Sus scrofa: one gene and its partner. The protein of the gene in region 1 interacts with the protein of each later gene in a pairwise test. Links are inferred from orthologs where the notes say so. Each region holds a gene or a part of one and is shown in the gene's direction. Other genes may lie near its edges.

Evidence for each region.
Region 2: the proteins of TFIP11 (region 1) and ZSCAN12 interact in binary tests that used the Homo sapiens proteins (3 or more experiments, as listed by UniProt). The two-hybrid records come from large-scale screens. The link is inferred for Sus scrofa from reciprocal best matches to the Homo sapiens genes TFIP11 and ZSCAN12.

Annotation. Positions count from the first base shown.
Region 1 is NC_010456.5:44,102,612-44,106,264, reverse strand, and holds part of TFIP11 (tuftelin-interacting protein 11), read left to right. Parts: intron 1-187; coding exon 188-344; intron 345-1,670; coding exon 1,671-1,798; intron 1,799-2,226; coding exon 2,227-2,379; intron 2,380-3,653. UniProt on the Homo sapiens protein: Involved in pre-mRNA splicing, specifically in spliceosome disassembly during late-stage splicing events. Intron turnover seems to proceed through reactions in two lariat-intron associated complexes termed Intron Large (IL) and Intron Small (IS).
Region 2 is NC_010449.5:22,202,626-22,206,278, reverse strand, and holds part of ZSCAN12 (zinc finger and SCAN domain-containing protein 12), read left to right. Parts: intron 1-3,406; coding exon 3,407-3,551; intron 3,552-3,653. UniProt on the Homo sapiens protein: May be involved in transcriptional regulation.

The DNA of each region.
Region 1 (3,653 bases):
CCCTGAGGGGTGATGTGTGCAGTGCAGTCTCTTCTATTCCCTAAGATGCATCAGAGGTAGGTTTGATTGGTGAGATATTTTTCATAATGCTCTGTGACTGCCAGGTCATGCTCCCATCAGCTAAGCTTGCTTTATTACGTTTTCCTTCTTTTTCTATTAACTAAACTTTGATTTTTCTCCTTTTCAGGGTGGTAACTTTAAACCCAGTCAGAAAGGTTTTGCAGGAGGAACCAAGTCGTTCATGGATTTTGGCAGCTGGGAAAGACACACAAAAGGAATTGGACAGAAGCTGCTTCAGAAGATGGGCTATGTCCCTGGAAGGGGCCTTGGGAAGAATGCACAAGGTGTGGCAGTCCCACCCCACAGTCTTGCACTTGCTGTCAGGCAGAGGTGGGAAGAGCAGGGAGGGCAGTGGCCTCCTCTTTTCTGCTTTTTCACTGTTCGGAGGGCTGGGACCCTGCAGCCTGTTCTGCCAGCACAGATGCTGTGCTCTATGCTTCATGCTTTATCAGAACTCAAGTTACATAAAATACTTGTTTCGGCAGGAGGGAGAGGTTAGGGTTTAAATCAGGCTGACAGGCTGAGAACAGGCTTCTTTCTAGCCTGCCCGGTGTTTCTAAAAAATCAAACTGGTTGCCAATATTTAAAAAGCAGACAGTTTCACTTCCATTCTAGAGTTGCCTGGCAGTGACTGGTTTAGCTGAGTCCTTGCTGTCCCAGTCAGCACCCAAGGCCTTCTCCTGGAAGCTGCCTCCACACTCCCCTTTTACTCCAGCCCACTTTCCCTGTTCATATTAATGTTCCTGGACCCTAAAGGCATATGAGTTTGGACTCTTGCTCATGCGGGGGCAGGACAGGTAACTATTTTTTAGTTTTGCAAAAAGCCAGTTACCTGTCCTTCAGGAATATCAGTAAAACATCAGGTGTTGCCTTTTGTTTTACAACACTCACCAGTGGGATGTCATCAGTAGTATTCTCTGTAATTCAGATTCAGCCCCTAGGTATTATAAAGTTAGATATGGATTGTGGGTTGAAAACATCAGCCGTATGAAGAATCCATGGACTTGAGTGGCAATGGCATGGGAGTGAGGGAAGTGTGCTAATTGGGATTTCAACAGTACTAGCTGGAAGGGGCCTGGTAGGAAGTCTGGGGTGTGGCAGTTCTTCACTGAAATGCAGTCCTGTTTGTAAACTTTTACAAGAAAAATACTTATTTTCCAGGCTTAAACTTGTTATAGCTCATAGGAGATATGAACTCCTAAGTAAAATAGGTGGAGTTTCATATTAAATGGCAGCTTCACCTTACTTCAGTCAGAATCAATATAATATCTGAATTAATGGGCTTCCAAATGAGCAGAGTATAGAATCTAATTTGCCTGAGATCCCAGTTATAAAATATTCCTGTCCACTAAAAAAAAACCAACAAGTCCAAGTAGAAATGGAAGTCTGTATTTAGGATACAAACAATATCAGCACACTGTTTTGTGGCAGCACACACGCTCAGAAGCTTCTGGCCACACAGGAGCCAAACGGTGTCGTGAGGGCAGAAGCATGTTTCCTTCCTGGGTAGCATGTTACTGTGTGTGAGGACCAGGAGTGTGGTCTCCCTGAGTGGCTCACTCACAAGAACTGCTGTGATCTGAAGTCTGTCTTTTGCTGCAACTTGCCAGGTATCATTAACCCAATTGAAGCCAAGCAGAGAAAGGGGAAAGGCGCGGTGGGGGCGTATGGCTCAGAGCGCACCACCCAGTCCCTGCAGGACTTCCCCGTGGTTGACTCTGAGGAAGAAGCTGAGGAGGTGAGTCAGGAGATGGGCTGGATTCTGTCTCTGCCTCTTGGGACTGTTGTTTGCTCATTTGTTCACTCGGCCAGTGTTTAGAGGTCGCTTGCACAGCAGGTGCCAGACACTGCTGAAGGCTGGTGTCCTGCCGTGACCAGGCGTGGAGCCTGGTGGACAGGGAGCAGTAAAAAAGTAACCACGGTGTGGTTAGAAAGAGCAGTTGTGCCAGGAAGTACTCAGAAGAAAGTAGGTTGGCTATGTGGGGAAGGGGTCTGAGCCTCAGTATTTGTAAGGCAGGGAGTGGGCATCAAGCAGTGTCTTTGGATGGTCTTAGTGTTATGGAGGGACGGTGCTTAGCATGGTGTTCTGAAAGCCTCAGTGTCCCCACTTGCGGGAAAAAGTGGCCCTTTCTTGTTGTGATGGACTATGTTATATTCTTGATTCAGGAATTTCAGAAGGAGCTGAGCCAGTGGAGGAAAGACCCCAGCGGAAGCAAGAAGAAGCCCAAATACTCTTACAAGACAGTGGAAGAGTTAAAAGCCAAGGGCAGAATTAGCAAGAAGCTCTCTGCTCCCCAGAAAGAGATTTCTCAGGTCAAGGTATGGGGGGCCCATGGACACCTGGTCCAGGATGGAGGCTTGCAAGACACACACACAGTTAACCACAGCAGCATCAGTCACCCAACACTTGCTCATAAGGTTCCTGTGGGTCTTCTGGGCAGGCTTTCTTGTGTGTCCTGCTTTCTTGCGTGGCAGTAGCCTCTGCCCATTTCCTGCACTCCCATTTAGGCTCATTGTTGTTCCTACCCTGTGCCAGGTGCTCTTCACTACACTACAGTGCTAAATCCAGCACTCCAGCTCTGCAGCTTGCTGTCCGTGAATTCAGTGATGTTCGTGGTATTCTGTTGCTTCATCTTTAACTTTTGTGGTTTTGTTGAGAGCAGGTTAGCCTTATCTTTGTGGGGTTTTTTGTTTTGGTCTTTTGTCTTTTTAGGACCGCACCCACGGCATACGGAAGTTCCCAGGCTAGGGATCTAATTGGAGCTGTAACAGCTGGCCTACGCCAGAGCCACAGCAACACCAGATCGAGCCGCGTCTGCAACCTACACCACAGCTCACAGCAACGCTGGACCCTTAACCCATTGAGCGAGGCCAGGGATTGAACCTGCAACCTCATAGTTCCTAGTCACATTCATTTCTGCTGCGCCAAGATGGGAACTCCTGTTTTAGACTTTTTAAAATGATAGATTCCTAGAAGTACAGTCACCAGGTTAGAGAATAGGAAGGTTGCTCTCACTCACTGTGACCAGGAGTGGGCCCTCAGCCTTGAACTTAACATTAGACTTTTAGCCTCTGTTCTGTCCATGCAGTCTCTGCGTTCTCCCTCACTGTCCCAAGTAGCCAGAGAACTGTGGTGACAGGTATCTCTTGTAGTTTGTCGTAGGAGATTGTGTGTGTCATGGAACCCAAAGTCTGGAGTGGGGTTCTCAAAGGTCAAGGTGTTGTGTATCAGGTTATTTGGGGACCTGGTAGGAAATGCAGATATTTAAGATACAGCTGGAGGTTTTGCCTCAGAGATCTGGCTGGGCCCGAGGGCTCATGCTTGTTATCTTTCCCCAGGTGATGCTAACTTATATACTCTAAAGTGGTGGCGGTACTTCTGTTACTGTATAGACATGATCACATCTCCTCAGTCTTCTTCAGACATTGAAATTAGCTCATCTCCTTGGGTGCCTTTGTGGGTTTTGTATGTTTCATGTTATTTTAAAATTAAAAAAAAAAAAAGCTATTACAGAGCAACATGCAATACATTTTAGAAAATTAGGAAATACAGAGGCGAAACTATTAAAAATATTTTCCTTCCCGTAAATGAC
Region 2 (3,653 bases), on another chromosome or scaffold:
AAAAAAAAAAAGAAAAAACGAACCCAGAAAAAAAAAACCAATAAAACAGAGAAAAAGAATAGTGAATGAAATTAGGATTGTGCTATTTGCAATTGACTAATCAGGGAAGGCTTTTCAGATAGGGTGACATTTAGAACGGAGATCTGAATTAAAAGAGCAAGCCACGCAGCCATAGGATAAGAGTGTTCAGACAGAGGAAATTGTTAATGGATAGGTCTTTAAGATTCAAATGCGCTTTTCATGATAGAGATGCATTTATCAAGTAAAGGATAAAATCAAATAGTTATATGGAGCTCAAACCAACAACGGACTTGTAGGCCATTGTGAGGAATTTGGATTTTGTTCTGAGATGGAAAGTCACTGGAGAGATGAGGGGAAGAGAGATTTAATCTGACTTAAATTTTAACATCACTCTAGCTACTTATTGTGTTGGGAACATTCTACACTGGTGCTGGTGGTGGTGGGGATGGGGGGGTTGGGGGAGTGGAGTAGAGTAGGGGAGACATAGGGGTCAAAAGCAGAAGCAGGGAGACCAGAAGGCTATGGCTATAAGCGCATCCTGGCTTGGACTAGCATAGTAGCAGTAGCAGTGGAAGTGGTGAGATGTGATTGGATTTTGTATATATTTTGAAGGTAGAGCTTCAGAGGAATTTTTTTTTTTTATAGGTTGTGGGATATAAGAGAAAGTGAATTAAAGATTATGCCAAGGTTTTTGGTCTGAACATCTGGTGGAATGGGTTTGTCATTCACTGAGATGGTGAAAATTGGGAGAGAAATAGGTTTGGAGGAGAGAGACAAGAATCCAGAATTAAGCCTTGGATGAGTTAATTTTGAGATTCTCATTAGAATCCAAGTGGAAAATGTGAGCAAGCAACTGGCTATAACAAGTTGGGATGCAATGGGAGGAATCTGTGCTCGAAATATAAAATTGGGGGAGTTCCTGTTGTGGCTCAGCGGGTTAAGAACCTGACTAGTATCCATGAGGTTGCAGGTTCAATCCCTGACCTCGCTCAGTTGGTTAAGGATCTGGCATTGCTGCAAGCTGCAGATGCAGCTCGAATCTGGCACTGCTGTAGTTGTGGTTTTAGGTCAGCAGCTGCACCTCCTATTTAGCCCCTAACCTGGGAATTTCCATATGCTGGAGGTATGCTCCCCCCCCCCAAAAAAAAGAAAGAAAAAAAATAGAAAATTAGAAAAGATATGGATGATATTTAAACCATGAGACAATAGGGGATCATCAAGGGATTAATCAGCAGTGGAAGCTGAGGAGTAGCCAGGGAGATCGGAAGAGAAACGAAAGAATGGGATTCTCAGGAGTTCCCTGGTGGCCCAGCGTTTGGGGGATCAGGTGCTGTCACTCCTGTGGTACGAGTCTAATCCCTGGCCCAGGAGAAAAAACAACGGGGTTCTCAGAGGCAAAAGCATTTGGTTTTGACATGTTGAGTATGTTTGGTTTTAGACCTGTTGAGTGTTGCCAAGCACTCCTTTCCCATGAGGCTTGCTGGGGGCACTAATGGAGCTTACTGCTTGACCTATGCAGCCTAGCTAGGGATCCAGAGATAGAAGACAGTTCACTGGACTGCCTGTTTTTCGTGCCTCCCTAACCCAAATTTGAAGTATCAAAACATCTTTTTCTGTACATTTGAGGATAGTATTCTGCTGCCTTTCGCCTCGTATTTTGAGAGATCACAAAATGAAACTGTCAGGGAAATAGAGCCAGTATGTGGTGATTTCTGAGTTATAAAATTTAGCCATTGAAGGGGATGAGGGAAGTAATTTAAGGGCCTGTCATATGCAAGGCCCTATGGAAAGTGCTTTACATATATGATGTATAATCTCAGAGCAAGTAACTCACCCAAGGTCACCGAGCTACTAAACCAAGAAACAGAGAAAGGAATTAGAGTGATTCCAGAGCCCTGCTTTTTATGACAACTGTGCTGGGGAAACCTACTATTTTTAAAGCCAAGCGAGAATGGGCCCGTGGAAGAATGGAAGCTACAGAATGGCTGAAATTGCTGATTGAAGTAGCAAGGGTCAGAGGGAAGCAGAAAGGGATAGGATTTAAGGCAAAAGTAGAGATGTGAACCTCGAAAAAGAAAACACATCTTTCTCTGAGTTAAAAGGGAGGAAGAGTATGAGAGTGGAGATAAAGTGAATAGGAGATGATTTTTGAGGTGATCATGATTTTGGATAAATAAAAAATAAGATCACCTTCCCAGAAAGGAGTGGAGACCTTAGGAACAGCTTCTGGAGAGAATATGGAAGAGATTTCTCTCCTTTTCCTTTCCTCTTTCTTCTTGCTTCTTCTTCTCTGTTTCCTTCCTCTTTCTCCTTTGTTCCCTTCTGCCTTTCTTCACAGTTTCTCTCCAGTATTTCACTTTTCTTATCCCTTTTCCTTATTTCTCACTTGTTTTATTTCCCACTTTTTCCCCCTCCTGTCTCTTTTTACCTTTTTTCTTTCTCTTCTTTCCTTCTCCAATTCTTTGAGCATAGACAAAGAAATGAAGGTGGCACAGCCGACATATTTTACCTATTTAGAGGAGGAGGGAGCTCCTGATGTGGCTCAGTGGTAATGAACTTGACGAGTATCCATGAGGACACGGGTTCCACTCCTGGCCTTGCTCAGTAGGTTAAGAATCTGGTGGTGCTGTGAGCTGTGGTGTAGGTTGCAGGCGAGGCTCAGATCCTGAGTTGCTGTGGTGTAGGCCTGTGCCCACAGCTCTGATTCTACCCCTGGCCTGGGAATTTCCATATACCACACTGGCCCTTTAAAAAAGAAAAAAAAGAATAGTGGGGAGTTGGTCATTCCTCCACCAGGTGGCACAATGACTTAAGAATCTGACTGCATGCAGAGGTTCTGCTCAGTAAGGCCCAGGTTCCATCCCTAGAACTGGAGCAGTGGGTTAAAGGTTCTGGTGTTGCCACAGCTATGGCTCAGATTCAATACCCTGGCCCGGGAACTTCCATGTGCCCAGGTGTGGCCATAAGCTTTTTTAAAAAAGGACTAGGGGGGAGTTCCCGTCGTAGCGCAGTGGTTAACGAATCCGACTAGGAACCATGAGGTTGTGTGTTTGATCCCTGGCCTTGCTCAGTGGGTTAAGGATCTGGCGTTGCAGTGAGCTGTGGTATAGGTTGCAGAGGTGGCTGGGATCCCAGTGTATGCTGCAGGAGTGGCCCAAGAAATGGCAAAAAGACAAAAAAAAAAAAAAAAAAAAAAGGAGTGGGGGGAATTCCAGCTGGGGAAGGGAAGTTAGCCCAGAGGAGGTGATACTTACATTGGCTGACTGATGTCTGCAAAGAAGTTAATTTCAAGTTTCAGTGAGCTGGGTACTGCTGCCATGAATAGCATACTCTTTCGTTTAATGTTATCAGAGTGAGTCTCTCAGCTGTATCTCATTTACCTCAGGTCTCAGTTCACACTGAGGAACAGGAAATGTTCTTGCAGGAGGTGGCACCTCTAGGATCAGAACAAGAACCCGGTATGTCTCTCCCATCCGTGAAAGTCCAGCTAAAGTGTGAATCTCCGGACCTTGAAGCCCAGCAGGAGCAAGGTAAAGAGGAAAGACCCATCTTGGGAGGAAGGGAAGATGCAGCTAACACAGGACACTGGGGCTTTTTTGTACTTCATGCTGTTTCTGATTATCAAAGTCAAG